3 linked regions of the Macaca mulatta genome follow. The protein of the gene in region 3 purifies or fractionates together with the protein of the main gene of each other region. This does not show direct contact. Links are inferred from orthologs where the notes say so. Each region holds a gene or a part of one and is shown on either strand. Other genes may lie near its edges.

Evidence for each region.
Region 1: the proteins of MARCHF6 (region 3) and perilipin-2 purify together in Homo sapiens (affinity purification with western blotting; 3 studies listed by BioGRID). This does not show direct contact. The link is inferred for Macaca mulatta from reciprocal best matches to the Homo sapiens genes MARCHF6 and PLIN2.
Region 2: the proteins of MARCHF6 (region 3) and SQLE purify together in Homo sapiens (affinity purification with western blotting; 4 studies listed by BioGRID and IntAct, with this or other methods). This does not show direct contact. The link is inferred for Macaca mulatta from reciprocal best matches to the Homo sapiens genes MARCHF6 and SQLE.

What each region holds. Positions count from the first base shown.
Region 1 is NC_133420.1:80,072,732-80,083,175, forward strand, and holds part of perilipin-2, read left to right. Parts: intron 1-1,390; coding exon 1,391-1,676; intron 1,677-2,708; coding exon 2,709-2,890; intron 2,891-4,424; coding exon 4,425-4,559; intron 4,560-6,244; coding exon 6,245-6,535; coding exon of another isoform or gene 6,536-6,646; exon of another isoform or gene 6,647-7,129; intron 7,130-10,444. UniProt on the Homo sapiens protein: Structural component of lipid droplets, which is required for the formation and maintenance of lipid storage droplets.
Region 2 is NC_133413.1:135,454,569-135,465,012, reverse strand, and holds the end of SQLE (squalene monooxygenase), read right to left. Parts: intron 8,382-10,444; coding exon 8,239-8,381; intron 7,809-8,238; coding exon 7,712-7,808; intron 5,586-7,711; coding exon 5,498-5,585; intron 4,612-5,497; coding exon 4,419-4,611; 3' UTR 4,083-4,418; downstream 1-4,082. Other genes in the region: WASHC5 (WASH complex subunit 5), read left to right, coding at 1,722-1,778. UniProt on the Homo sapiens protein: Catalyzes the stereospecific oxidation of squalene to (S)-2,3-epoxysqualene, and is considered to be a rate-limiting enzyme in steroid biosynthesis.
Region 3 is NC_133411.1:11,496,974-11,508,199, reverse strand, and holds the start of MARCHF6 (E3 ubiquitin-protein ligase MARCHF6), read right to left. Parts: upstream 7,398-11,226; 5' UTR 7,391-7,397; coding exon 7,372-7,390; intron 7,172-7,371; exon of another isoform or gene 6,618-7,171; intron 1-6,617. UniProt on the Homo sapiens protein: Endoplasmic reticulum membrane-associated E3 ubiquitin ligase that plays a critical role in mitigating endoplasmic reticulum stress, the regulation of cholesterol and lipid homeostasis, and ferroptosis.

The sequences.
Region 1 (10,444 bases), on a different chromosome or scaffold from region 3:
TTCACAGGGTTAGGGTTAGGTCTCCTATGAGAATCTAATACCGCCTCTGACTGGTAATGGACTGGTAATGGTCCATGGCCCGGGGGTTAGGGACTCATGGTATAACCTGCTATATACCTAGGCTGTATGGTATATAGCCTGTTGCTTGCTTCTAGGCTACAAACCTGCACAGCATGACTACATTGACTACTATAACACAATGATAAGTATTTGTGTATCTAAACGTAGAAAAGGTACAGTGAAAAAAAAAAAAGGTATACCTGTTATAGGGCAGTCCATTATAATCTTTTGGGACTATCATCGAATATGTGGTCCATCGCTGACCAAAATGTTATGTGGTTCACAACTATAGATAAGTTTAGTGTATAGCCTTTAGAATGCTTGTGCAAATCTTTTAAATTTTTCACTTACATTGCTTGAGACTATGCTAATGGTGAGAGCTATTTTCCATTTTGAATATTTTCTTTAAATGTTGGTGACTTGTGTTACCAACACAAGTTTGGCTCACTGCAGCCTCTTCCTCCTGGCTTCAAGTAATTGTCCTGCTTCAGCATCCCTAGTAGCTGGGTTCACAGGCACGCCCCGCTACACCCAGCTATTTTTTTTTTTATTGTTTGTTTGTTTTTGAGATGGAGTTTCACTCTTGTTGCCCAGGCTGTAGTGCAATGGTGCAATTTTGGCTCACTGCAACCTCCACCTCATGGGTTCAAGCGATTCTTCTGCCTCAGTCTCCCAAGTAGCTGGGGTTATAGGCATGTGCCACCACGCCCGACTAATTTTTTGTATTTAGTAAAGACAGGGTTTCACCATGTTGGTCAGGCTGGTCTTGAACTCCTGACCTCAGGTGATCCAACTGCCTCAGCTTTCCAAAGTGCTGGGATTACAGGCGTGAGCCACCATGCTGGCCATGTATAATAACTGCATACTAATAACACCCTGAGGGCCAGGTTTAGTTTGATCTTCAGTTTCCTTTCTGAAATTATGTGACTTTGAAATAAGCTATATAACTTACCTTTTCTTTTCTCTTTTCTTTTCTTTCTTTTTTTCTTCTTTTTTTTTTTTTTTTTTTGAGACAGGGTCTTGCTCTGTCACCCAGGCTGAGTGCAGTGGCACAATCACGGCTCACTGCAGCCTTGGCAAACAGACAGATTTCATATCTGTTTACTTCATTTGCTCCTCCAGCAATTCCCAAGGATTGGCAGGTAGGGCAGATACACTTGATAGGGAAATTCAGGCTCATCAACTCTTAGTGACTTGCCCAAGACCTAAAGCTAGAATGAGAGGACTAGATTCCTTTAACTCTTCACCTGTGCTGCCTTAGCTAAGACCTTGAGTATGTCCTTGTGCTCATGTTTCTCACCAGCCAAGGGATCTGCTTTTCAACTTATAGATTGTTGCCAATGCCAAAGGTGCTGTGACTGGGGCAAAAGATGCTGTGACGACTACCGTGACTGGGGCCAAGGATTCTGTGGCCAGCACGATCACAGGGGTGATGGACAAGACCAAAGGGGCAGTGACTGGCAGTGTGGAGAAGACCAAGTCTGTGGTCAGTGGCAGCATTAACACAGTATTGGGGAGTCGGATGATGCAGCTCGTGAACAGTGGCGTAGAAAATGCACTCACCAAATCAGAGCTGTTGGTAGAACAGTACCTCCCTCTCACTGAGGAAGAACTAGGTAACTGGAATTTTATCTTCAAATACTGTTTTATATTAAATCTTTTTTAAACAGCTTCATTGACATACACTCCTATCTTTAGTCTAAATTTACACAGTTGTGCAAGCATCACCGCAATACAGTTTTAGAATACTTCTGCTACCCCAAAAGATCCTCATGCCTGTTTGCAGTCAATCCTTTTTAATTTAATTTAATTTTATAGAGATGGAATCTCACTATGTTACACAGGCTGATCTCGAACTCCTGGGTTCAAATGATCCACCTGCCTTGACTTCCCAAAGTGTTGGGATTACAGATGTGAGCAACCACTAATCTTTTTGCCTTTATAGATTTTCCTTCCTAAAGCAATCATAAAGTTCACATTGAATTGTACATAGTAAGTTTTCAAACTTTAGCAAAAATTGGCCTTGAAAAATATTTTCTGTAAATGGATTGCTTTATAAAATCCTCATTACAAAGAATCATCATTAGGTAATGTGTGCCAGGTATCATGCCGCTCAAGTTCACTGTAGGCTGGGCACAATGGTGCATGCCTATAATCCCAGCACTTTGGGAGGCTGAGACAGGCAGATCACTTGAGTTCAGGAATTTGAGATTAGCCTGGGCAACATGAAGAAACCCTAAAAAACACAAAAATTAGCTGGGCGTGGTGGCTTGTTCCTATATTCCCAGCTACTCGGGAGGCTGAGGTGAGAGGATCAGTTGAGCCTGGGAGGTTGAGGCTGCAGTGAGCCAAGATTGCGCCACTGTACTCCAGGCTGGGCAACAGAGCAAGACGCTGTTTCCAAAAAAAAAAAGGGCAGTTTACTCTAGTGGAAAATACGTGTAGATGCATGCAGTGTGTAGCAGATACAGTAATATGTTCAGGGTAGTCAAGTCCAGCAGCAGACATGAGCAGTCTTGGAAAAATGACTACATGATTGCTAAGTGATTGGGTAGAAGTAAGAAAGTCAAGACCCAGGTTTGAGTCCAGGCCATATCAGTTGTCGCTGTGATCCCTTAAGTTTTTTTATCTCTTATTTCTAACTTCAGAAAAAGAAGCAAAAAAAGTTGAAGGATTTGATGTCGTTCAGAAGCCAAGTTATTATGTTAGACTGGGATCCCTATCTACCAAGCTTCGCTCCCGTGCCTACCAGCAGGCTCTCAGCAGGGTTAAAGAAGCTAAGCAAAAAAGCCAAGAGACCATTTCTCAGCTCCATTCTACTGTTCACCTGGTGAGTAAAACTTTATTTTAAGGTATCTGAAGTGGGTTCATTTATCTCTAGGACCAAGAATTAATGTAATCACAAAATCCAAGAATTTCACTGTTACTTGAACAACCCAATAGAAAACTGGACAAAGAATATGAAGACAGCTCACAGAAAAAGGAAGTATAAATAGCTGAAATATATGAAGTAATGCTAATCTCGCTCTGAGGGGTCAAGTACCAACATCTCTCTTGTCCTGCCACACAGGAAATGTGGCTGTTGGCAACGGTGTAGAAAAAGAACCACACTTACACAGCTCTTGCTCTAAGGGACTGATTCAAGAGACAGTTTTAGGAAAGTTACAAACATACCCACTCTTCGAGCAGTTTTTTACTTTTTATCTTTCGGATGTGTTTATTTGTTTAAAGTTGCAAGAGACTATAACAATGGACATCCACTAACAGGACTAATTAAATTGATATATCACAATAGACTACTGTAGCCATTAAAGGTTGCCAAGTTAGAGAACAGTATGTACCATTCTGTACTGCCATAAGAAAACCATTTCTTCCTTGAAGGGGAAATAGGTGGTTGGCAACAGGGAAGAGGAAGGTCAAATTCCTTTCTGTTTTGTAATTCTAACATCCTTTACTCATGTGCACATTAAATTTTAGTTGCTGGCTGGGCGTGGTGGCTCATGCCTATAATCCCAGCACTTTAGGAGGGCAAGGTAGGCGGATCACTTGAGGTCAGGAGTTCGAGACCAGCCTGGCAAACATGGTGAAACCCTATCTCTACTAAAAATACAAAAATTAGGTGGGCATGGTGGCATATGCCTGTAATCCCAGCTACTCAGGAGGCTGAGGCAGGACAATTGCTTGAACCCAGGAGACGGAGGTTCAGGGAGCTGTGATCACTCCACTGCACTTCAGTCTGGGTGATGGAGTGAGACTCTCTCAAAAAAAAAAAAAAAAAAAATTTTTTTTTTCGTTACTTTACCTGTGCTAAACTGGAGGTAAATTTGGAGTCAGTGATTTAACAGTTAGAGGCAGTAAAGAGCTATTACTGCTTGGTTAATTTACACATACTGATAATAAATAACAATGATAGCAGGAATAGATCTCATTCAACTCCAGGAAATTCTTAGTTTTTTTTTTTTTTTTTTTTTTTTTGAGACGGAGTCTCACTCTATCGCCCAGGCTGGAGCGCAGTGGCCAGATCTCAGCTTACTGCAAGCTCCGCCTCCCGGGTTTATGCCATTCTCCTGCCTCAGCCCCCCGAGTAGCTGGGACTACAGGCGCCTGCCACCTCGCCTGGCTAGTTTTTTGTATTTTTTTTTAAGTAGAGACAGGGTTTCACCGTGTTAGTCAGGATGGTCTCGATCTCCTGACCTCGTGATCCGCCCGCCTCGGCCTCCCAAAGTGCTGGGATTACAGGCTTGAGCCACCGCGCCCGGCCAATTCTTAGTTTTTATATTGCCTGATTTACATCATACATCTGCAAATGGGCTAACATGAATATCTGACTTGCGTGTTCCTTTGTCTTGTTTCAATGTGTCTAGATTGAATTTGCCAGGAAGAATGTGCATAGTGCCAATCAGAAAATTCAGGATGCTCAGGATAAGCTCTACCTCTCATGGGTGGAGTGGAAAAGGAGCATTGGATACGATGATACTGATGAGTCCCACTGTGCTGAGGTAAGATGACTGGGACAGTCATTCGCTGATTTCTGAAGAAGTTCTTGTCAGACTTTTCATTTCAATTCTTCCATACTATGTCTTAGAATACTCTTCTGTATCAAAAGGTTGAACGATACCATGTGCATAGGTGGCTAGTTATGTGGCAGAAAAGCAAAACTAGGCAGGGAATAATTTTATCTAACAACCTATGAGTATACATATGCCCCAAGTGAGATACAACTAAATGAGAAACATAGGCCTTGCCCTCATAATGGGTACAGAATAACAGGGGATACAGCCAGCCATGCTGTCCTATTGTGCCTTTTTTTTTTTTTCCAATGCTCCTTGCAGAAGAGGGCTATCCCATAGGCAGTACGCTCAGAGTAGCCAAGTCCGGTTGTTTTTTAACAGCATCAATACAGGCACTATTGGCCGCGCGCGGTGGCTCACGCCTGTAATCCCAACGCTTTGGGAGGCCGAGGTGGGCAGATCATGAGGTCAGGAAATCGAGACCATCCTGGCCAACATGGTGAAACCCTGTCTCTACTAAAAATACAAAAAATGAGCCAGGCATGGTGGCACGTGCCTGTAGTCCCAGCTACTCGGGCGGCTGAGGCAGGATAATCGCTTGAACCCAGGAGTCAGACGTTGCAGTGAGCCGAGATCACACCACTGCCCTCCAGCCTGGGCAACAGAGCAAGACTCTGTCTCAAAAAACAAAAGAAAATATATGGGAAGACTATCTCAGGCAGCCTTGGAGTAGGGGTAGGTGAGTCACATTGCTTCCTGGAAGAGATGAATGGTAAACTGAGAACTAATGGGTGAATAAACTAAGTGAAAGGGCAATAAGGTGACTAAGGTTCTGGAGAGAAGACATAGCATCTTGGCTGGGTGCAATGGCTCACACCTGTAATCTCAGCACTTTGGGAGGCCAAGGCAGGCAGATCACTTGAGCCCAGGAATTCAGGACCAGCCTGGGCAACTGTGAAACCCCCATCTCTACAAAAAATGCAAAAATTAGCAGGGCGTGGTGGTGTGCACCTGTAGTCCTAGTTGCTTGGGAGGCTGAGGTGGGTGGATCACCTAAGCCAAGAGGTCAGGGCTGCAGTGAGCCATGATTGTGTCACTGCCTTCCAGCCTGGGAGACAGACTGAGACCCTGTCTCAAAAAGAAAAAAAGAAAAAAAAAAAAAAAAAAACAGAAAGAAATATCCTCTAGGATATTCTAGGAAATGTCCTAGAAAGTGGTTCTTTGCTTCCCAAAAGCTCTGAAGTCAGTAAACAGTGTTTCACCATTTTGGCCAAGATGGTCTCCATCTCCTGCAAGGAGCATGTCTTGTCATCTTATTTGAGGAGGGAATATATATATTACATTACTAGAATGAAGTACATTTCCATTCTTTTGGGTCTCCCCTACCTAATATGTTTCTTCAGTTTAAGATGATGAACTTTGGAGACTCAGGCACTAGTTCGAATCCCTACCCAGCTGTTTTCCAGTTGTTAACTGAAGCCATCTACTTAAACTCTAAGCTTATATCCACATCTATGAAATGTGAATAATACTGCTGCACTCGGCATTGTAATGAGGATTTTTAAAAGCCGAAGAATCCATATATGTGGTGGCCACATAACCAGCTTACTGTCATTGAACTAACTTAACATAGCACTGCTGGATCCACTGCTAATTTTAAGTTTTATTTTTAGCACATTGAGTCACGTACTCTTGAAATTGCCCGCAACCTGACTCAGCAGCTCCAGACCACGTGCCACAACCTGCTGTCCAACATCCAAGGTGTACCGCAGAACATCCAAGATCAGGCCAAGCACATGGGGGTGATGGCAGGCGACATCTACTCAGTGTTCCGCAGTGCTGCCTCCTTTAAGGAAGTGTCTGACAGCCTCCTCACTTCTAGCAAGGGGCAGCTGCAGAAAATGAAGGAATCTTTAGATGATGTGATGGATTATCTTGTTAACAACACGCCCCTCAACTGGCTGGTAGGTCCCTTTTATCCTCAGCTGACTGAGTCTCAGAATGCTCAGGACCAAGGTGCAGAGATGGACAAGAGCAGCCAGGAGACCCAGCGATCTGAGCACAAAACTCATTAAACCTGCCCCTGCACTAGTGCATGATGTGGCCAGGCAGATGACCTGTTATGTTGAAATTAACTTGCTAGGCAACCCTAAATTGGGAAGCAAGAAGCTAGTAAAAAGGCCCTCAATTATAGTTGTTTCTAGCTGAATTAAGAGCTTTAAAGTTTCTGGCATTAGCAGATGATTCTGTTCACCTGGTAAGAAAAGAATGCTAGGCTTGTCAGAGCCTATAGCCAGAACTCAGAAAAAATTCAAGTGCACTTACGTTCTCATTCTGTGGCCACTGTGTTGCCTCTGTTCCTGTTTGTATTGAATAAAAACATCTTCATGTGGGCTGGGGTAGAAACTGGTGTCAGCTCTGGTATGATCTGAAAAGTCCTCTTCACTGGTTTATCTCATGATGATTACTTGTAAAACTTGATTTTAGCTTTTTATTTCTCAAATAGGAATAATACTACGTTTGAATTCAATAAAATTCACTGCAGGATAGACAAGTTACATGCTGTTTGTTCCATATGCTTTGTGTGTTGCTTTCGTAGAGCTGCTTAACCTGCATGACAGAGTTATTATACATACATGAATTTCAGTTGGCCTGTTGGGGAATTTGGCAGAGTGAGAACATTGGAAGGCTAATGTTAAAAATGGGATGCTTGATAACAGATTAAAAAAAAACTAAAAGCTGATGTGCATACTCAAATTTTACTAGGTGACAGTTGGCCCTCTTTGTTTGCCAACTTACTGGACCCCTGTGAGTGGGTTGGTTTGTTTGTTTGTTTTTGAGACGGAGTCTCGCTCTGTTGCCCAGGCTGGTGTGCGGTGGCCGGATCTCGGCTCACTGCAAGCTCCGCCTCCCGGGTTTACGCCATTCTCCTGCCTCAGCCTCCTGAGTAGCTGGGACTGCAGGCGCCCGCCACCTCGCCCGGCTAGTTTTTTGTATTTTTTAGTAGAGACGGGGTTTCACCATGTCAGCCAGGATGGTCTCGATCTCCTGACCTCGTGATCCGCCCGCCTTGGCCTCCCAAAGTGCTGGGATTACAGGCTTGAGCCACCGCGCCTGGCCTGTTTTTAAACCAGTAAAATGTCCTAATCATGTCTGACTACCTTACTGAAAAGGAATCAGAGCTGAAAGGAAGCAAGTGATTATTTAAATCAGTGTCATGTAAAGTCACTGGGCATTTCTTGCCAGGGAACCAGTTAAAGTGTGAGTCCTAAAGAGAGATTCTTCAGTGTCCAGCCTCAGCTGGACTTTACTTACTGTGTTGTTATTTTGGGAGAAAGTCACTAACCTCAGTTGTTGTTGGGGAGGTACATATAGAAGACCATGTGAGACTAATTAGAAGTAAAAAGACTTTAAGCCCCCTGTAGACAAAGGTTCTTTTTTTTTTTTTGACACAGGCGTGAGCCACTGCGCCCGGCCGACAAAGGTTCTTCTTACCTCCTGCCTATAGTATCCAGACTTCTAGTCCATTCAACATTGGTTATTTAGGAACTATCCTGAATCTCCTTATCATGCATATGCAATATGTCAAACTAGTTTTTAAAAGTGAGTCTCAGAACTTGTGAAATAGGCCCGGCACTGTGGCTCACACCTGTAATCCCAGCACTTTGGGAGGCCGAGACAGGCAGATCACCTGAGGTTAGGGGTTTAACACCAGCCTGACCAACAACGTGAAACTCTGTCTCTACAAAAAATACAAAAATTAGCCTGGCCTGGTGGTGTGTGCCTATAATCCCAGCTACTTGGGAGGCTGGGGAAGGAGAATCCCCTGCGTCTGGGAGGTGGAGGCTGCCGTGAGCCAAGATCTTGCCATTGCACTCCAACCTGAGCGACAGAGTGAGACTGTCTCAAAAAAAGAAAAGAACAAGGCCGGGCGCGGTGGCTCAAGCCTGTAATCCCAGCACTTTGGGAGGCCGAGACGGGCGGATCACGAGGTCAGGAGATCGAGACCATCCTGGCGAACACGGTGAAACCCCGTCTCCACTAAAAAAATACAAAAAAAAAAAAACTAGCCGGGCGAGGCGGCGGGCGCCTGTAGTCCCAGCTACTACAGGGAGGCTGAGGCACGAGAATGGCGTAAACCCGGGGGGCGGAGCTTGCAGTGAGCTGAGATCCAGCCACTGCACTCCAGCCCGGGCGACAGAGCCAGACTCCGTCTCAAAAAAAAAAAAAAAAGAACGAAAAGGGTGTGAAATAGAGCTACATGCTTCTGGCTGTCCCTGCTAAAAGGTAAGCAGGGCTGCCCTCAGCAGAACTGAAGTCTAACTCAAATTCGTCTCTTTCTATCCTGGTTCACCCCTTTATCTCCATGAAAACGAGGAAGCAGCACATAACTTTACATGCTCCTTTGGTATGAATGAGTCTATTAAACTTTTTTATGGACCAGGCACGGTGGCTCATGCCTGTAATCCCAGCACTTTGGGAGGCCGAGATGGATGGATCCCTTGAGATCAGGAGTTTGAGACCAGCCTGGCTAACAGGGTGAAACCCAGTCTCTACTAAAAACACAAAAATTAGGCCGGGCGTGGTGGCTCACGCCTGTAATCCCAGCATGTTGGGAGGCCAACGTGGGCAGATCACGAGGTTAGGAGTGGCCAACAGTGGCCAGCCTGGCCAACATGGTAAACCTCATCTCTACTAAAAATACAAAAATTAGCTGGCCATGGTGACGTGCACCTGTAATCCCAGCTCCTCGGGAGGCTGAGGCAGGAGAATCTTTTTTTTTTTTTTTTTTTTTAAGACAGAGTCTCGCTCCGTCACCCAGGCTGGAGTGCAGTGGCGCGATCTCAGCTCACTGCAAGCTCCACCTCCCGGGTTCACGCCATTCTCCTGCCTCAGCCTCCCGAGTAGTTGGGACTACAGGCGCCCGCCACCTCGCCCGGCTAATTTTTTGTATTTTTAGTAGAGACGGGGTTTCACTGTGTTAGCCAGGATGGTCTCGATCTCCTGACCTCGTGATCCGCCCGTCTCGGCCTCCCAAAGTGCTGGGATTACAGGCTTGAGCCACCACGCCCGGCCAGGAGAATCTTTTGAACCCGGGAAGTGGAGGTTACAGTGAGCCGAGATTGCGCCATTGCACTCCACCCTGTCCGGCGACAGGGTGAGACTCCATCTCAAAAAAAAAAAACAAAAAAACAAAAAAACCCACAAAAATTAGCCGGGCATGGCTGTATGCACCTGTAATATCAGCTACTCGGGGGCTGAGGCACAAGAATCCCCTGAAACAGGCAGGTGGAGGTTGCAGTGAGCTGAAATCTTGCCACTGCACTCCTGCCTGGGCAACAGTGAGACCCTGTCTCAAAAAAAAAAAAAGCTTTTTATCAAGTTACAAATTTTTTCTCCTCAGTGTAACTCTAGAAATTAATAAACAGGTGAGTTGAGTTGGAGGGTAGGTAGGAAGTCCCTAGGATTTGTTTTGCAGATAAGGAGCTTCTGGTTTCTGGGAAGGATGAACTTTTGTGATGTATGGGTTTCCAGGATAAAGCCTATTCACTCACTTGCCTCCCTGTTCCCAGTGACTGGCATTTTCTAGGCCTCTGGCTCTTAATTTTTTTTTTTTTTTGATTCAGAATCTTGCTCTGTTGCCCAGGCTGGAGTGCAATGGTGTGGTCTCAGCTCACTGCAACCTCCGCCTCCCAGGTTCAAGCTATTCTTCTGCCCTCAGCCTCCCAAATACAGGCGTGTGCCACCACTCCTGGCTATTTTTTGTCTTTTTAATAGAGATGGGGTTTCACCATGTTGGACAGGCTGGTCTCAAACTCCTGACCTCAGGTAATCCACCCGCCTCGGCCTCCCAAAATGCTGGGATTACAGGC
Region 2 (10,444 bases), on a different chromosome or scaffold from region 3:
AACAATTCTGTGTCAGTGTCTCTTAATTAAAAAACAAAAGAGGAAATACTAACAAAGGACGAGTTTCCTTGATTTATAGTGTGCTCTTCAAATCTTCAAGTTCAGTAAGAAAAAGATGTCCACGCCGATAGAAAAAAAGCAGGGGAAGGGCAAAGGATATTAATAGGCAGTTTTCAAGAAAAGAAATAGAAATGACAGACCTTTGGATTCAAGGGACAAAGATCCAAAGAAAAGGAAAATTACTATTTCCACTTATCAGGTTGGTGAAAAGTGAAATGTTGGGCCCCCATTATTCGGAAGCATTTGGAGAAATGGGACTCCTCAGTGCTGTTAACTGGAATGTAAAATAACAGCCTTTGAGGAGGGTAATTTAGCTTTATCTATTTTAAAAAACATTTGTAATATACTTACCGTGATCCCAGCAATTCCACTGCTAGGAATTTTACCTGCTGGATATATGTGCAAAGGTTCACCAAGATATGTGCACAAGGATGTTCATAATATAAGATTTAGCAGAGGTAAAGAAGGACACAATACTATATGATCCTAATTTTGAGTGTGTGTATGTGTGTGTGTAAGTAAACTGGAAGAATTCAATACAAAAGTTACCAGTTTTTATTTTCTCTAAGAGATTAAGATTTTAAAATGTTTTTAAATTTTAAGCTCTGGGCTACACGTGTGGAACGTGCAGGTTTGTTACATAGGTATTATACATGTGCCATCTGTCACCCAGGCTGGAGTGCAGTGGCGAGATCTCGTCTCATTGCAACCTCCACCTCCCTGGTTCAAGCAATTATTCTGCCTCAGCCTCCTGAGTAGCTGAGATTATAGGCATGTGCCACCATGCCCGGCTAATTTTTTTATTTTCACTAGAGATGGGGTTTCTCCACGCTGGTCAGGTTGGTCTTGAACTCCTGACCTCGTGATCTGCCTACCTCAGCCTCCCAAAGTGCCGGGATTACAGGCATGAGCCACCACACCCAGCCTAGGTTTTAAGCCCCGCATGTATTAGGTATTTATACTAATGCTCTCCCTCCCCTCGCCCCCCACCCCCTGTAAAATTAATTTTTATAGTCTTCTGCATTTGCAAAATTTCCTCTCATTAGCAGGCGATACCTTTTTGATCAGAAAAAAAAATTAAACACTGCTTCTAAAAAATACTCATCTCCAGCACTTGGAGATCACCAACCTCTACATTCTACCCAACTCAGCCCAATTTATTCTTCTCAGGGCTTTGCCTAAGAACAGTTCAGGAAGGTATGCCTCTGAGGCCTTCCGGCTCTTCCCCTTCTGGCCTTGGTTTCTCATTCTCATTCCTGCCCTCCTCTACTTCTCCATTCCTGTCACTTGCCAGCCATCCTGGTTTTCCTTTGTTGGTCATCAGTTAATAAAGTGTGTTAGGTGACCTGAGTACTTGTCAGTACTTCCCAGAGGCATGAACATTCCTCGCAGATCAAGGTGCCTTTAAGAGCCAAGGAGCTCACGTTTGGAGGCGGGAGAGCTGTACTGCGTCCCCTCAAATGTTAGCAGTGCCAAGAAATGAGACTGTCGTCCAGAGGGCACCAGAAACAGAAAGGGGCTGTTTCAAGGCGTTGTCCGCCCATGGGAGTCTCCTCTTCCGTTATTGACCTTGCTCCAAGGATACCTTCTCTTTTTTGCGTGCAAATTTTCAATTTATTCAACTATAACACCATGAATAACTTAATTCTTTAATTTTTCAGGTTGCTGAAGCACATGTGCCTAATTTCATTTTTGATGAGTTCAGAACAGTGCTGTAACTGTTTTTTCCTACTTCTTCAATGGAAGGATTGTCCTTAGATCTTCCCATCATCACTAAAATGAATTTGAAAATGAAAAGAAACTCAGTTGTTCATATAACTGCATTTTTTGCTCTCCATTATGGGAAACTTAAGACGTTCTGAGTAAGATATATCTCATGGCATTAGTTAATGTAACTGATAGTGTTTAAATCATGGTATTACATGCAATTTATATCATGTAAAAGCAGAACACATTTTTGTACTGCCTCTCATAAATGCCGACTGTAACTGTTATGTATAAATCCATTTAGTTTTATGTTCTAAAGAACTATTTGTGCAACTCCAGATTTTCAGTAAAATAGTATTGCCAGTACCCAAAGTCGTCTCTCCTTATGATTCAAAAATTATATATTCACCCTGTAAAAAACCCTGTTTGGAAGGTAAGAGATGACTCTGCTCGATATATTAGTTCACCCCCAACAAGCTGGCAGGCACATGGTGATAGCCAGACGAGTAGCAAATGGAGTGGCCACACAATGTGTGTCATGTACCATGGAAGTTTCTTGGTGTCTCACCATCCTCTTCCAATCCCAGATGCCCTGGGGGTCCACAGCATTCCTTCTGTAGGACTCTTAACAAAGCTGCTCCTTCCAGTATCTTCCTCAGCAACCTAAGTCCTGTCCCAAGTCCCCATAACTATGTCATTATCCGCAGTCCTTTTTGGTAATAGCCTTGCCGTAAGCTTAACTCCCTCGAAATCCTAAATCATTTCTGCATGAAAATTACCCTGAAAAGGAAGCTGCCTGCTAGTCTGTTATCACACTGATATGAAGGAATATGGGTGGGGACACAGAGCCACACCGTATCACTGCCATCCTACTGTGGCAACTTGAACATCAACAACTTAGATGAGAGCAAGAACGATGTTTCCACCCTGAATCTCTATGGTTATGTCCTCCTCTGGAAAGGAAGGAACAAACCAAACCAAACCAAACCCAGAAGCCAAAATCTGTTTGACAGTCATTTTGCTAGTGGTGGGGGAAGATGCATTGATTTGTAGTCAGGAGGCAAAGTTTGAGTCCTGGTTCTGCCACAAGCTACACCTTGTCCCAAGCCAGCCCATTGGCATCATCTGTAAAATTAGGACTAAAGGATTTCTCAGGTTCCTTCAGTTTTCTCATTTTATGATGTTATTTCTTTTGTCTGAAGGCCTCAAATTCTGATATTGAAGGGAAGACTTGATAGGCTTTGATTATTTCACTATCATAGTAGAAAGGATTTTCAAGGAGTCTCAATGGAGAACAAGGGTAGCCTCTAATCCTGGGCATGAGGGCATCGAGGCCAGGGCAGAATTTTAAGTGAACTGTTGCTTGGTATGTAGGGAGCTTGGAAGTCTCACCACCTGCAAAGATTGTGTGTGGGAACATCTATATCTCAAAGATACCTTGTTCTTTTTCATTTGTAATCTTGTTAACAATAACCACATGAAGTGAGATCTTTAGTTCTCTGAAAAGAAAGCTAACTGCTAAAAAGGCCAGATCTGGGAAAGTGAGTTTTTAACCAGAAAATAGAAGTTTAGGGTCAGTTAGATGGGAATCTTATGAAACCACGCAAATGGGTCCACCATATACTCTGCTAAAACAAGGCTTGCTAGTGATTTGGCCAGTATTTTTCTCAACTGAAAGAACTTAAAAATTGAAATTTTTATTGTAAAAGCTTTATAAGTTATTTTAGCCCTGTTAGAATCTCAAGTAGTAACTTAATTTGCCAGGTTATATTTTACTGCTCTTTCAGAAGTAACAATTTACTTTCATGATATTTGGAGATTTACTGAACTTTTATGATACCCTTTGAACGTCCATAGTCTCTTCAAATTTACTGTAGATAAACCCAGTCAATTCTAATGGATTTTAAGGTATTATACTGGGTATTACAAGTGCTTATTTGTTCACTGTTTCTTGATGTCATTCTGGCCTGGTTTATAAATGTTATACAGTGGAACTTATAAAGCCCTTGATTGTCCTTCCTGTCAGAATCTGATATTTTTAGAGAACTCAGCAAAGAACCTTTCAGTTCGAATCTGAGTCACAGCCCCAAAATAATATAAATAAGTAATTTTTTTTAAAGAAAATAACCTTATCAAATTGTTTCACTAGAGAGATGAGGAAATCAAGGTGAAGACATTAAGGCAACAACTTCCCCAGTTATTTAATAGAACAGGTTTCCCTCTGCACTTTTCATCCCACTTTGGTTTTTTTTTTTTTTTTTTCATTATCATGAAGCTATGTAAATGAGCCCACAACAAGAAACAAAAAGACATGAAAGTTCATTCTTCATTTTATTTTCATGTCCCAACAACTCATCTCAAATACTAAATTCAAAAGAAAAACTGTAGTTCTCCTCAGTATTAGCACTAATTTATGGTAAACAATCATTTCTTTTAAATATCTAACTTGTTTTACCCTTCATTTTGCAAATTAAAGCATGTATTTAAATATTTATATACAAAAAACTTCAAAAACAAATTAATCCAAATCTGGGTCCAAGAGTTTCCACTTTAGAAGTGGTATGGTACTATGCTATACACCTCCTCTTCCAGAAGTCTCTTAGGACTTGGTAAGTTCCAAATATTCATTCACCAATCGTTCCCCTTTAAGCTTAATGAACCATATACTTCATTTCTGAGTAAATGAGAGGAAATATTATAGAACACGCTTTGTACAAAACAGCACCACTACTGAGAAGAGCTCGAGGTTTTGTAATCCAAGGTTCCGACTTAAAGCAAAAATATATGGCATAGACTGCAACAGCAAAGAAATGTCCAATTAAAACCAGAGGGTTAGGAGACAATCTGTAATAGAAAAAAAATACATATTGGTAAGACTCAGAAACTAAAATTTACTCCAAACATTCCAATTACATATAATCTGTAAAGCCCAACAAACAGCCTACGTTTTTTCACCCAAGCACCATCATTCTGTATCAAACATTCTGTATTTTAGAGGACTTCACAAACATGTCTGCATGTTAAGTTTGATGGCAGGAGCAAACTCCCCTGCCCTTTTTTTTAAAAATATATAAGAAAAAATACTTAGACTATATCCCTTTCAGAGAAGCTAGTAACTCCTGTAACTCTAGTTTACATAAGTCATATATTTTTGGCTGTTTTGTTTACTCATCCTGAGATACCATGCTAAAATACCTAGATGGCCTGGTCTGTTGGGATGTAGGGCTTTTAAAAATACCAGTATTAACATTCAGATTATAGACTAATGAGAAATGACTCAAAGGATCACTTTGCAGATGAGAAATAACTCGAAAGATTTCACTTTGTAGACTTTCCAGGAATAGCTCCACATATGTCTGTATGTTCAAAACTAATATGGGGTTGTATAAGTCCCTGTACTTCAATGAAACTAATTTCTCAATTAAAATTTCTCAATTATTCCTGGCTCCCAGAGACCAGAACATATGGATAAATCCATAGGCAAAAAACAAGCTTCTATTTTAATCAAGGGTTACAGCTTCCTCTACCACCACCTTAAACTGCTGTTCCCAGAAAGAAAACAGCACTAAATATTGCCTTTCTTCATTTCTTTGGGCCACCTTCTCATTCGGATACTAATAGATAAAAAAATATCAAAATGTGTAAGGAAGAAAGATTTGCAGTAATTCATCAACTGAACAGTCCTAAGAAAATCTGGCAGATTTGTATCCTCTGTGCCATCACAACTTACACAGAAAGCAGCCCAACAGGACCCGCAACACATTCACCACCAAGTTTGAAATAAAGGAAACAGGCTTTTCTTAGTTGATGCAGGGAATCTAAAATAAAATTGTAAAAATAATCAAATATGTGTACACACTTATGTAGGATCCTAATGATATATCAGAAAAAATGAGAACAAACGCTACATCTTGCAGATAATTTTTAAATATCTAGTCCTAGAATTTCAACTACCAGGATTTCTTTTAAATTCCATAATCAGCATTATGGAGAGTAATACAAATATGAATAAACTTCTTTCTGTTAGTAAATAATTACTAATATTTAGGTCTTGGAAGAGTTGTTTAAAAGGTACTTCCTTGATTTTGCTGTTAATTCATTAAGTGATGCAAAATACTTTGGAAGCTCTGTTTAACACAATTCTAGAAACCAGATTCCCAGTCTCTAAGATGCCCAACCAGTATCTCTAAGAAGTAAATTATCAAGTGAAAAGAAGAGCTGTGAGTAGCGATAAATAGTAATTCCTTATATCTATAAAGTTTTTATACCTTTCAAAGTAACTCATAAAACCCTCACAATATCGTATAATCAATTGATAACCTTTTTAACCATTTAGAATCAATGTTCTGTTCAGGTATGCCTAGATTTTTCTTTACAACAGATTTTTAAAAAGTAAAGGATGCAACAGGTAAACTTTTGCTCCAATAAAGGTCTTTCCTCCTCCAATCTTGTAACTTTTAAAAAATGTTTTGTTGGTAGATTCAAATTCATAATGTAAGAACTCAAGAAGTCAGAAAAGCTTAGAAAGAAGAGCTGAGAAAAACTCTAAATTTAGTTCTTTTTATTTGCCCAAAACTCTAAACTTAGTTCTTTTCTTTTTATTTGCCCCAAACTCTAAACTTAGTTACTTTCATTTGCCCAACCAGCCATTTTAACTTCTATGCCAATTTAGCAAGAGAAATTTGTTTGGAAAAATCACAACCAGTGAGACTGGTGGTTTTGTGGGGGTTTTTTTGGTGGTGGTTCTTTTTTTCTTAGGAAGAGTTAATGGTTATAGAAGCTACAGAAAGCATTTTTATACTGTACCATCTTTTGTAATTATAACCACAGCACTTACCACTAGGGCCTTGTATGATCTATACAAATAGCTATGCTGCAGATATACTAGAGTAATGGCATTTGAGTCAATATTTATTCTTGAAAACTGAAAAGCCTAGTTTCATTAACCTACTATTAAACTGATGTGTACACTGCTGTGGTGAGGAGGTGGCACAGTTGCCTTTTCTCCTCCATTTCTTTTAATTTTTTGTTTGTTCATTTTAGAAGATGGAGTCTCACTCTGTTGCCCAGGCTGAGTGCAGTGGCACTTCATATAGCTCCCTGTATTTAGCTCACTGTATATAGCTCACTGTAGCCTTAAACTCCTGGCCCTAAGTGATCCTCCCACCCTGCCTCCCAAATAGCTGGGACTACAGGCACACGCCACCATGCCTTGCTAATCTTTTATTTTTTGTAGAGATGGGGTCTTGCTTTATTGTCCAGGTTGGTGTGAAACTCCTGGCTTTAAGCGATCCTCCTGCCTTGGCCTCCTAAAGTGCTGGGATTACAGGCATGAATCATCTCGCCTGGCCTCTTTTCCTCCATTTCTAACACTGCTTCTGCTAAGTTGTGTTTTCTATAATATATACATTGACCATGACCTCTCTATAATATGGAAACAGAAACAAAAGCACCAAAATAGTCCAAATAAGTAAAGGGTGAACGCATTGTTACTTGTGCTTTTTAACAGGGACAAGATTAACAGCTCGTATTCATTTTATAAAATACTACGTTAAAAAGAAATTGAAACTAGTGTTAGGAAGAAAAAGACTATTGCCTTTTAATACATGGCCAAAAACACCTTCCATCACAATCTTGTGTGTGTGGGGACATGAATGATCTAGTCTGCACCAGAGGAATTCAAAATAATGAATATGTTACTGAGGCAATACTATTAATGTTGTCTAAGGAAATTCCACTGCCTTCCAAACTAAAACTAAAGTTTCCCTTCCAAACTAAAACTAAAACTGTTGCTCAAAATGGAATTTTTTTAAAAACTACCAACTTGGGAGTTAGCAAACTCAGGTAACATCTTTATTTCTGGACAAATCACTAACTTTTTTATTCCTTTCCTATGCTAAAAATCTGCAATTGAGAAATACTCACTAAAAAGTGCTACACTTACCATCTGTGGCAGAAAATAATTCATAAAGAGCCTGAGCAAGAATATTCACGACAAAGGAATGAGATGCTTTTCTTTCCCAGTAAAATGATTTTTTGGCCTAAAAAAGAAATAGCTCATTTATTATATGGCAAGGATAAAAAAGCACAAACTGATGTTTATAATCCCCTCAAACTGACATTTATCCTTCTAAGGACTATCTGCAAGTAATGTTGCCTTATGTTTATCATTTACCAAAAAAAAAAAAAAAATCACCTTCAGAGCAATGGGTTATATGACACTGAAGCTAAATTTACAGCCACCATGAGCTAAGTGGCCCATAGCAATCCAGTGTTACATAATATTCAAATTTAGAAATTCTCTATGATTCGCAGGTTGCATGTCAGGTTCTTCAAGCCTAAGCAAGATGCCTAAGAGCTATTATAAAGCTCAGGTTCCTTAGTACAGATCTCCCCATCAGAGCCCCACTGCTCTTAACCCTCAGAAATAAATCCATTTTGAGACATTTTTGTCAAAATAATTGATCTTACCTCAAAAATAGCTGCATCATCATAAAGGTCAGGGATGCCCTTTAGCAGTTTTCTCCATAGTTTTATATCTTTAAAAGCAACAGTCATTCCTCCACCAGTAAGTGGATGCCTCATATTGTATGCGTCTCCCAAAAGAAGAACACCTATGAAGAGAGGTAATGAAGATTTTATCTTAGAGCATCACTTGAGACAAAAAGAAAGACAACTCAATGTATAAAGATTACTGATGTAAGCTACTATTAAGAAAAATGTGAAAATACATGGAAACAAATCATGATTAAAATTTGCTGAGGCAAAAATTCAAGAGTTGTTTGAATCAATATTGGGTACCTAATAGGTGGCCAGGCACTAGGGATACAGTAATAACAAGAGTGTGGTCTCTGCCCTCATGAAACTCATATACACACCTAATGACAAGTCCAACAATGTCAATACATTTATAAGGCTGCCTTAAAATTAAAATATGAAGAAAATAAAAGGAATCTACAGGTATCCAGGCCATCTACAGGTATCCAGGCATAAAAAGCAAGTCCTCTGGCGATCATCCTCCTCCCACACAGGAACACTAAAACGAACAACTGTCCACAAAGGAAAGCACCTTCATAAGAACCAAAAATCAGCTTGGGTACCAGCTTGGCCAGTGGGACAGAGCACCAAGGGGGTTCCTGGGATCCCTGATTCCAGGTCTGGGCACGTGGACAGCATTTTTGGATCCATCCTGGGTGACAGGGGAGCCCATTGTCCTGAAGGGAGAGACCCAGGACTAGCGGCATTCACCACCAGCTGACTGAAGATCCCTGGAGCCTTGAGTGAACACCAGACGCAGCCAGGCAGTACCCACTGCAGGCCTGGGGCAGTGGTGGCTAAGGGGAGAGGCTCCTGCTTGAGGAAAGGAGAGGGAAGAGTGGGAAGGAATATGTCTCGAGGTTTGGGTGCCAGCTCAGCTACAGTAGAATAGAGCACCAAGTAGATTCCTAAGGTTCCCAACTCCAGGCCCTGGCTCCTAGACGGCATTTCTGGACCAGTCCTGGGTCCCCAGGAGCTCACTGCCCTTAAGGGAAAGGCACAAGCCTGGCTGGATTTGTACTAACTGTAGAGCTCTTGAGTCTTGAGGGAACATCAGCGGTGACCAGGCAGTCATCGCCACATGCCTGGCGCAATACCCAGTGTTGTACTGGCTTCAGGTCTGACTCGGCACAGGCCAGTGGTGGTGGCCACAGGCATACTTGTGTCACCCCTCCCCCCACCAGTTCCAAGCAGCTCAGCACAAAAGGACAGACTCTGTGTTTGAGGGAAAATAAGGGAAGAGAACCAAGAGTTCTTTTCCTGGTAATCCAGGGAATTCTCCCAGATATCACCCAAGACCACGAAGGCAGTACCTCTACGAGTCCGCAAGGGTCACAATGTTAATGGACTTGGGGTGCCCCCTAATGCAGATACGACTGCTATGTCCAAAGACTTAGATCACAACACTCACTTCCCTTTGAAAACTTAGAAAGCCTTCCCAAGAAGGATGGGTACAAACAAGCCCAGACTCCGAAGACCACAATAAATACCTAACTTCTCAATGCCCAGACATTGACGAACATCCACAGGCATCAAGACCATCCAGGAAAACATAAACTCACTAAATTAACTCTGATAAATAAGGCACCAGTGACCAATCCTAGAGTAACAGAGATGTGAGCTTTTAGAGAATTCAAAATAGTTGTTTTGAAGAAGCTCAACAAAATTCAAGACAACACAGAGAAGGAACTCAGAATGCTATCAGATAAATTTAACGAAACAACTGAAATTAAAAAGAAGCAGAAATTCTGGAGATAAAAAATTCAATTAACATACTGAAGAACACGGCAGAATCTCAACAGCAGAACTGATCAAGCAGACGAAAGAATTAGTAAGCTTGAAAACAGGCTATTTGAAAATACACAGAGGAGACAAAAGAAAAAAGAATAATCAAGAATGAGGCACACCTACAAGATCTAGAAAATAGCTTCAAAAGAGCAAATCTAAGTTCTTGGCCTTTAAAAGGAGGTAGAAAGATCAGGGTAGAAAGTTTATTCGAAGAAAAAATAACAGAGAACTTCCCAAATCTGGAGAAAGATACCAATATTTAAGCACAAGGCTACAGAACACCAAGCAAGGATTGGTGATTGATTTAATTCAAACAAGACTAGCTCAAGCCATTTAATAACCAAACTCCCAA
Region 3 (11,226 bases):
AGTACTCTGTTACAGCAGCCCCTGCAAACTAAAACAATGTCTAAAACTGAATTACTTATCTCATTCCACTCCCATTTGAAAAAAATCTAAAAATCAATCATTTGTAACTCCTCCTCCTTATACTACCTCTTCAATTGCTATGTTCTATTAATTCTATCTTGGTCTATTTCTTCTTTTCCATTCTTTCCATTCCCTCTACCTTAATGTAAACTTGTATATCTCATCTAGCCTACTGCAACAGCATTCTAAAATACAGTCTGAATTATTAAGTTTTCCCTTAGGGGGGGTCTTACTTCTTATTCACTTTTTAAGAACTCTTTCTTTTCTACCTGTATTATACTAAAAATAAGTGATCTTCATATCCTTACAGGAGAGAAGTAAAACCCACTAAAGTAAGCCTGGCCTGGAAGAAATGGGAAGTAGGTGTCTGGAAGAGGATAACCCAGCAATAATCACTCACAGGACTTCAGTCTAAAAAGTATTCTAATTGAGCCATGTAGCAGATCTCTTTTGAACTGTCTTACCAGCTCAAGAATGGACACAGCCAGTCATGATTCTTATTCTTACATTACCTTTCCCACCACCACCCAGCTACCTGGATCAAAAGGATAGGCAACCGACCCAAGATAAGCCAGTGAGATTCTAGCCTCCAGACATTTGAGTTTAAGACAAACAGAAACTTGTTTTAAACAACCAGGAAAGAGACAGACCCAGTAACCCTGGGGGATTGGTTTCAGGAACTCCACAGGTACCAAAATCCACAGATGCTCAAGTCCCTTATGTAAAACAGCATAATATTTCCAAGTAACCTATGCACATCCTTCCATATACAGGAGTCTCCTGAACAAGGGTTAGGGGCACCAACCTCCTGCACAATAAAAAATTCACATACAACTGGGTGCGGTGGCTCATGCCTATAATCCCAGCACTTTGGGAGGCTAAGGCAGACAGATCACCTGAGGTCAGGAGTTCAAGCCAACATGATGAAACCCCATCTCTACTAAAAATACAAAATTAGCCAGGCATGGTGGTACATGCCTGTAATCCCAGCTACTCAGGAGGCTGAGGCAGGAGAATCGCTTGAACCTGGGAGGCTGAGGTTGCAATGAGCTGAGATCGTGCCACTGTACTATAGCCTGGGCAACAAGAGCAAAACTCCATCCCCCCCTCAAAAAAAAAAACCACCACACATACAACTTTTGACTCTCCAAAAACTACTAATGGCCTACTGGTGACCAGAAGCCTTACCATAACATAATACAACATAAACAGTCAATTAATACATATTTTGTATTACATTTTTAAAATTTTTTTATTTTTTTGAGATGGAGTCTTGCTCTGTTGCCCAGGCTAGAATGCAATGGTGTGATCTGGGCTCACTGCAAGCTCCGCCTCCCAGGTTCACACCATTCTCCTGTCTCAGCCTCCCAAGTAGCTGGGATTACAGGAACCCGCCACCACACCTAGTTAATTTTTTGTATTTTTAGTAAAGACAGGGTTTCGCCATGTTGTCCAGGCTGGTCTTGGACTCCTGACCTCAGGTGATCTGCCTGCCTAGGCCTCCCAAAGTGCTGGGATTACAGGCGCGAGCCTCCGTGCCCGGCCTCTGTATTACATCATACCAGGTATTATGAGTACTCTAGAGATGAGTTAGAGTACAGATCTGTGAACACCACGGTTTGAACTGCATGCATCCACTTATACATGGATTTTTTTCTTCAATAAATACATTGGAAATTTTTTTGGAAATTCGGAACAATTTAAAAAAAAAAACAGATGAACTGTGTAGGAGCAAAAAAAATAAAATTATGCCATGAATGCATAAACTGTATTATATGTATTGCATTATATGCTGTATTCTTACAATATGTACTGTAATATGTATTATATACTGTATTCAATATTATATACTTTATTCTTACAATAAAGCTAGAGAAAAAAATTAAGAAAATCGGAAGGAAGAGAAAATACATTTACAGCACTGTACCATATATTTATCGATACCTGTCTATTTACAAGATAAATCATTCCGAAATGGCCAGCAACCACAGCTACAAACCTCAATTTATGGCACATATGAAACAATTCGACTTTTTCCTCATAATGTCATGCCTTTTTTCAGCTTCCTGGAGCTCTTCCAGTATCACTTAGCGGCACCTCATATGGATCCCATCCTGTTAGTCAAAGTTTAAGGTACTGCACTAAATGCAATGAAAAATACAAGAGAATCCAGAGAATCCATACTTTTTACCATATACAATTTACTGGAGAGATGAATGGCTCATGCAGAGGTGATTAGCCTCACAAGGTGTTTTAAGCAGACAGGATACTGGCAACACTTGAGCTCACCACAACAGCAACAGAAGGTGGCTATGAAATTATTACAGTAGCACAATATGCACTAAGGTTAATTTCATGCAGTTATGATTTAATATTGTATCTAAGTTTCTTTACATCTCCCAACTGTGAACAGTGCCATGTGCAGTCTCCATTACATGTTTGTATGTGTAAGTTTTGATAAATTTTAACATTTCATGACAGATTTGTATATACTTTGATACTGAGTAAAACAGACTAGTATCTACATATATTTTATGCATTAATGACATAACTTTTTAACTTTCTCACTATTTCTAGACCACACAGTTCATCTACAAGTTTTTTCAAATTGTTGCAAATCTCCAAAATTTTTTCCAATATATTAAAGAAAAAAATCCATGTGTAAGTGGACCCATGTAGTTCAGACCCATGTTGTTCAAGAGTCAACTGTACTTTAAATTATCTCTAGATTACTTAGAATAATTATAACATAAATGTTATGTAGTCATACTGTATTGTTTAGGGAATAATGACAAGAAAAAAAGTCTGTACATGTTCACTACAGATGCAATCATCTATTTTTTTCCAAGTATTTTCCATCTGACATTGGATGAATCCATGGATGCAAAACCCAGATACAGAAGGCTGGCTGCATATCAAGACAATTTATGTCTCACCTCAGCTCAAAACCCTCCCATAGGTCCCTATCTCACTAAAGTAAAAGTCAGTGAAGTCCTACATGCTCATTCCTCATTGGCTCCATGATCTCTCTGACCTCATATTATACTTACTCTTCTCCCAACTCTCACTCCATTACAGCAACACTGCTCTCCTGGTTATTTTTTGAACACTCTAGGCATGCTCCCATCTTAGAGACTTCACACAGGCTATATTCCCTCTGCCTGGAACGCTCTGCCCAGAGTATCTGCAGGGCTAACTCCTTCTCCTTTGCTCCTTCTCAGTGAGGCCTTCCTTTACTGCTATATTTAAAACTGCAACACCTAGTGAGCCAAGATCACGACACTGCACTCCAGCCTGGGTGACAGAGCAAGACTCCGTCTCAAAAAAAAAAAAAAAAAAAAACAAAAACAAAAACCAACAGCAACCCTTGCCCTCATATCCTGGCACTTCTTATTCCCTCCCAATTCACTGTTCTCCACAGCATTTATAACCTTCGAGTTATGCCATATAATTTATTACATGTTTATTTTGTCTTAAGCTAATAACTATAATGTAAGCTCTATGAAAGAAAGGATTTTCTCTATATTGTTCCTTGCCTAGCCCAAATGCATCAAATAGTGCCTGGCTCATAACAGGTCCTCAATAAGCATTTAGCAAATAAATGCATGTACACTTGGTCACAAACATGCCAAAACAGTGAAAGGTGATGTATGGTAAGAAACATGCAGCAGACATCTCTGGAAACAAAGAAGACCATGTGGTTCTAGAAAGAGAGTAACTAGCTGTCTGATTCTGACAACTTTCTATCCTTTTAACTCATTTCTTCCAAATTTAAGTTACCTCAAACCATAATACTCTTTAGCTTCACACTTTTCGAATGAATATGTTCCATAAAGCATAAAGAACAACTGCTTTGGTATTCCATAAAAAAATAACTAAGACTTTGTATTATGTTCTGCTAATACAAACGGTAATTTAGCAAAATAGAAAAAAAAAAAAAGTCAGCTTTATATCACTGAGCCGAAATGTGGGCATTCTATGACAAAATAATATTATCTTTGAGAACTTCACATCAACACTTGCAACATCTATTCCAATATTGTACTGCTTTTCCTTTAAAAAAAAAAAAAAAAAGTATATCCTTGAGCAAGGGATAGATTTTTCTGTGAAACTGAGAAATCTCAAGTGCATTGCAGGATCAGACTCCTAACCCATAAAATGAGGAGGGCAAATGTCTAAGGTCTCCTACAGCTCTGAAGTTTAAAAATGTGCGGATGGATAGCAATTGACATAACACATCTGCACTCACAAATAACATATACACAGTAAGAATGATTCATCCATCCCTGTATCATGAGAATGGATTATGAACCTGTTGATTTTACAAAAATTTAATACTGAAGACACTTAAGAGATCTTTAAAATCTAGCAAACAATTAGTATGAAAGGGCCACGTCAGAACTGAGTATTACTACAAATGCATAACATTCTGAGCACTAGACTATCATATATGGTACCATCAGAGGCAAGCAACATGCTATTTTTAAAAGGGAAGAGCTACACACTATATGCGCATGGTTGGTGTTTTTGTAACATTATTCTTAATCTCTTTGCGTGGAATATTAAAATATATTTTTAAAGGGCAGAGAACCGGCCAGGAACGGTGGCTTATGCCCATAATTCCAGCATTTTGGGAGGCTGAGGCAGGCAGATCACCTGAGGTCAGGAGTTCGAGATCAGTCTGGCCAACATGGCAAAACCCCATCTCTACTAAAAATACAAAAATTAGCAGGGAGAGGTGGCACGCTCCTGTAATCCCAGTTACTCAGGAGTCTGAGACAGAAGAATTGCTTGAACCCAGGAAGTGGAGGTTGCAGTGAGCTGACATCACACCACTGCACTCCAGCCTGGGCGACAGAGCAAGACTCCGTCTCAGAAAACAAAAAAAATAAATAAAAAACAGAACCACAACAGCATTAGTGTTTTCAAAAGTAGGTGATACTGATTTTTTTTCAATTTAGTTTTATGTTTGGCCATATTTTGAATATCTCCTACCAAAAAATAACAGATTTTAAAAACCTAAGTTGCATTTTTTAAAGAAATAATCTATAATAACTGATTTCGCAAATAGAACATTTATTAGTTTTTTGGCATCTTCACTCTATTATTTTTAATCCTCTATAACCCTCCCTTTTCCTTTAAGTGTTATTTCAACTTAAATTTTATCGTAAAAATGTCAGAAGACTTCCAAATTGGAATTTTGCAAAAGCAGGCATGAGAATACAGCACTAAAATTCACTTGCATTTCATGACTACTAATTTCATAAAATAAAGCAAAATAAAATTTTCGCCAAATTATAAAAATGATCCATCCTATAGAGGGAGTGACAAAAATAAATTCCAACATTGGACATTTAGTATCCACTTATAAATAAATATCTAATTTAAGTGCAGAGTCTGACAGACATGAGCTTGAATCGTGCCTCTGCCATTTACTACCTGTATAATCTTGGACAAGTTACTTAATCATACTAACCATCAGTTCCCTCATCTGTAAAATGAAAATGCCGCCTACTTAACGATGTTGACAGAATTAAATGAAATGTATATAAAGTGTTTAGTAAAGCATATTCTACCCGTTGAGTCTTCAGCACATGTTATTTTAACAGAGAACAGTGTTCAACAAATAAATGTCATGTATACCTTATCCTGATTATAATTTTACAAGAGAAAAAATATATTTAAGCACTAGAAGTACAATGAAAATATTTCATGATTCCATACGTGCTTCGAGCGCAATTCCTGAATTACCATAGGTTACTGTCACACCATAAAAGTATGCAAGTAGCAATGCCCAGGCCAAAAGAATGAGAATTGAATATAATACGTCCGTACTTATCCTGTGATAAATGCATGCCTTAGTAGATTTATTCATTAAAACTTGAATCTGAAAGGATGTGAAACCTACATAGATGGAAATTTTACACAAAGGACCACCTGTCAAAAAGAAATAGTTCCCAACCTTCAGCAGTTTCGCTTTACTATTTTTTCCAAAGGCGTCTCCAGTGGCGATTAGCTACACTCAGTGTATATAATAAACATACTGTGGCATAATGAAAGGGAAATTATTTGCAATCAGAATGCCTACATTCAAATCTGTCTCTTACTACCTGTGTAAAGCTTCGACAAGCTATTAAAACAACGAAGCCTACATTTCAACATCTATAAAAGATAATACCTACCTATTCCACAGGCCTTTTGGGAAGATCAAACGCGAATGTACAGCAAGTGCCACATGTTATAGTTGAGGTTTTTATTAAAGGCAAGACTTCTTTTAAAAAAATAAGTCGTTATCAACTCATTACAGAGATATTATCAAACTTTTTTCACTCATTACTGCACCCCATGACGGCGTCTGATAATTCATTTTCATTTAAAATTGCCAAAATCACAACCTATAAGGTTGAAAGACGCTTATACCCCCCATAAATATACCTAAAGTAGAAAAGCATTTGCACCGATAACCGGAACATCAAAAAAGGCAGAATAATTTAGTAATTTCCTCTATAAACTCACCACTCATTTAAAAACACAGCTGGTTAAAAATAATTTACTACCTTCAGTGGGTAAGAAAATGCGCTTGAAGAGACATAAGGTGTGGACGTTTACATCTTAGGTATTCATTGTAGAAGGGTCAGTTTGTTCAAAGTAACCGTATCCAACAGGCAATCGCAAAACAAAACCAAGAGAACCCTGCTTATAGGTGTCAAGGATTTAAAACCAAATGGATCGCAACAAAAGAGCCCCCCCTCCGTTTAGTAAACAGATTCTCGAGCTGCAGGCTAGCCGAGGACCGGGCTTTTCAATAGGGGTCAGCTCACTCCACTCGGCAGTCACCTGGCGGGGTATTTTTCGCGAAGTTTCAAAGTCAACAAAGAAGTTCTGTGGCGAGGGGGTAGGGCCTGGCGAGCAATAGGCAGAAGGACGTAAAGAAAGACAAAACCCAGTGGGGGAAGGGTGCGGAAAACGCCCCCGGACGGCAGCGGCAGCGACAGCGGCCCCCTCTTCTGGGCCAGCGCGCGACGGCGGGGACGAGGGAGGCCACGCCGGCCCGGAGCAGCCACGACGCCCCAGGACCCGGGCCCGGCCCGGCAGGGTCCCCGCCCCCCTCGGCGGCGCGGGCGGGAAACGGCTGGGGGCGCGCCGAGGGTCACCTTCCGCTCCCCGGACCAGAGGCCCCGCGGGTGGGCAAACGGCCCAGGCGCCCGCCCTGCCGCGCTCCAGCCGCCCACCTCGAGCGCCGCGGACCTGGCCGGGGCACGAACCCGGGAGCCGACGCAAGGGCTCGGGCGCCGCGCGTCGCCGACTTACCTTCCTCCGCGGTGTCCATCTTGTCTGGGGGGGTGGCGGTGACGCAGCCACGAGCTCCCGCGGCCGGGCGGGGAAAGAGGGCGGGGAGGAGGAGGAGGGAGCCGGGCCCGGGCAGGTGCGTGCGCTCAGGTGCGAGAGAGGAAGCGAGAGGAAGGAGAGGGGAGAGGGAGAGGGAGAGAGGCTGACAGAAAGCGAACCACAAGGGAGGGGGAGGGGCGGGAACACCTAGGGGCGAGGCCTGGGCGGGGCGCCGAGGCGGAAGGGGCGGGAGCTCCCCAACGACAGACAGTGTCACTTCCGGCGGCCGCGGTGCGCACGCTCGGTTGTAGGCTAAGGCGGGGAAGGACCTTTTTCGGGGGTGCGGTGAATCACCGCGTGCTCTGGGCCACCTGGGGTAGTCGCCGAGAATGCGCCGGACAGCGGGGCCGAAACCTAATCAGTAGCTGAGCTTTGGTGACCGCTTCTGGAGGGGCGCAGAGCAGTGGGAAGAGGCCGCGAGAACCTAGCGCCCGCCCCAGCCGACGTGCGAGACAAAGGCTACGGCGCGGGGCTCTTCGGGAGGCCGGGAGGTGCCTGTGACAATGCGAGTCTGCGCTCCACGCTCCCGCACCGCGATGCCGAGGCCGAATGGCTAGAGTGGGCCCAGGCGTCAGCATTTCTGTTTGGCACCCGGGCCGTTGTGGTGCACGTTTTGAGGAACTACTAAAGCCTCACTGTGATGAAAAAGGCAAACGCTGACTTCACCAAAATTACTCCCAGGGAGACTTCTGCATTTGGCTGGAAGGACTATTTGAGTAAACCGCTGAGGCTGGGGGTTGAAACATAATCCTCCTTTAAGGGAGATCTGTTCGGATACCGAGTTAGGGACGCTTGCCTGCGCAGAGCTAAGGGAAGAACGGTCCTAGGCCAAGCTCTGTCCCCATCAGCACGTCACCCTCCCTCACTGTAATCCTTGACTGTTTCTCTAAATGAAGAATTATTTAGAGAATACAAATTAGAAGGGCCGCCAAGTCAGAATTGCCTGAGCGGGAGCAGTCTTTCCAGCCTCGAAAAATGTTTAAACAATATGCAGATGACCTAGCACAAATAAAGAATGCTAGCAACCGCTGTTATGTGTGAGTGGTGAAATTGGGAGGGCCCCTCCCGCAATCTTCATCAAATAGAATAAGGTTTAGAATAAAAATAATGAAATACAGTTTTTCAAAAAGAGCAGCGCTTGACTAATGTTTACTGATGTCACTCATGTTACTCAAGGCAGGAAAGAACTCTACATAATAGGGACCCACTGATTTCAGGGGCTGGCCCTGATGATTAAGCAGACAGCCATTCTTTAAATTTGTTTTTTGTTGTTGTTTGCTTATGTTTTTTTTTTCTTTTTTTGAGAAGAGGTCTCGCATCGTCACCCAGGCAGGAATGCAGTGGTGCGATAGTGGCTCACTGCAGTCTCACTATGTTGACCAGTATGATTTCGAACTCCTGTCTTCAAGCGATCTTTACGCCTTGGCCTCCTGAAGTGCTGGGGTTACAGACGTGTGCCGCTATGCCCTGCCTAAATATGTTTATATATACTACCTCCCAAGAAACAATTTGAAGACAGCTCTTTCCCCAGCTCCCCTCCTTCCGATCCAACTCCAACAAGAGCTAACCCTCCCTGGAAGACCTGTAGCAGAACACTTGTTGGCCTGCTGAGACTAGGGGAAAAGATCAGGACGATCAGATCTATCAGATGTTATATGGCATCAGGGCGAAGGATTCTGAAAGAAAGACTGAGGTTTGCTGGAGGAAGTACTGGTAGTGCCAAGGGCAGGTACGTGACCCTCAGAGCTGCAGAGCCAGGTTAGGATGAAGGGAATGTGTGTGTATGGGGGGCGTGGAGGGAGCCTTCCTTTTGTCTTTTTTTTTTTTTTTTTTTTTTTTTTTTTGAGGCGGAGTCTCGCTCTGTCGCCCAGGCTGGAGTGCAGTGGCCGGATCTCAGCTCACTGCAAGCTCCGCCTCCCGGGTTTACACCATTCTCCTGCCTCAGCCTCCTGAGTAGCTGGGACTACAGGCGCCCACCACCTCGCCCGGCTAGTTTTTTGTATTTTTAGTAGAGACGGGGTTTCACCGTGTTAGCCAGGATGGTCTCGATCTCCTGACCTCGTGATCCGCCCATCTCGGCCTCCCAAAGTGCTGGGATTACAGGCTTGAGCCACCGCGCCCGGCCCCTTTTGTCTTTACATGCCTTCCCTTGTGATGTTCAAAGGAAAGTTAACCTTTTAACTAATTCTCCCTTCTGCATAGTAATTCCTTCTGGAATTGCCCTAACCTTTTCGCATTCAGACTTAGGCATTAAATATAGGAGTAATAAATCAACATTTGTTGAGTCCCCACTGTGAGTCAGGCACTAGTTCTCACAACAGCCCTTCCAATACATGAATCAGTCACACCTCTCTTGGTTGCCAGTGACAGGAACTCAACTGCTAGGCAGAAGGGAGGAAGGTACTGTTGATATGGACAGACTCCAAGAAGGGGAGGGACTGCTGGGACTACTGGAAGGAGAATGCCTCTCTGCCCCCATGCCTCAGCTCTGCCTCTCTCTCTGCACGTTGGCTTCATACTGTTGGACCAGCTTCCTCCATATGTCTGGAAACAAGGCCACTGACAGCTCCCAACATTTCATCTTCTGCCCCATCATCAGATAGGCGAGGTAAGGCTGATGATCTCTAGTCCCAAGTTAAAAATTCTCAGGGAAGGATAGTTCATTGGTCCAGCTAGTTACCTGCCCCTGAATCAAATGATTGTGCCAAAGATCTAGGATCTTTAAGAACATGGACATTGTCATGTTCTTGTAACTGCCATGTTCAGGTAAGAACAATGGACACTACCTTGTGGAAGTGGAGAAAGACCATCTCCCACAAGAAGGGGGAGGACAAAACAATAGATATCTATCAGAATTAGAGTTCAATTAAATTACTAGGTACTGATAGAACTCTAAAGCAATAGTTACCAAATTTGAGGGTGTCTCCATCATTGACACCTTTAACAATCTGATAAAATCTATGGATTTTGTTCTCAGAAAAAATTGGTTAAACACAGAACATTGCCTGCAATCTCAGGGGGGTATATAGATGCCTTGAACTCCATGCATGAATCCTAGGTTAAAAGACCCTCGCATGTAAAGTATTGAGAAAAGTGGTGATGTTCTCTTCCCTTTCTAAGACTATGGCAGACTGGGTTTTTTAGACCAACAGTTGGAAATTCTATATAAAAATATAGAAAACAGATTCTTTAAAGCACTGAAGGCCTGACAAAAATAGTAAGGTAACTACCAGACCAAAATCTTTTTTTGTTGTTTTTGTTTTTGTTTTGAGATGGAGTCTCCCTCACTCTGCTGCCCAGGCTGGAGTGGTGTGATCTCTGCTCACTACAACTTCTGCCTCCTGGGTTCAAGCAATTCTCTAGCCTCGGCCTCCTGAGTGGCTGGGATTACAGGCATGTGCCACCACACCTGACTAATTTTTGTATTTTTTGTGGAGACAGGGTTTCACCGTGTTGGCCAGACTGCTCTCAAACTCCTGACTTCAAGTGATCCATCCGCCTCAGCCTCTCAAAGTGCTGGGATTACAGGCATGAGCCACCATACCTGGCCTACCGGGCCAAAATCTAAGGACAGGAGAGAATACCAAAAAGTAAATGGAACATGAAGGCTGCTTTTGTTTTGCTGAACCAGACAAACTTGAACTTCTGTTTGACAGTTTCTAGCAGCAAGAAGGACGGCTGTCCAAGTCCAGAGCCTGCCCAAGGTAAGGCATCTGTTAAGGGACCTTCCACCAGGAGCCTCGCCCAAGACCCGCACTGCTGCTATCTCGGAATGGT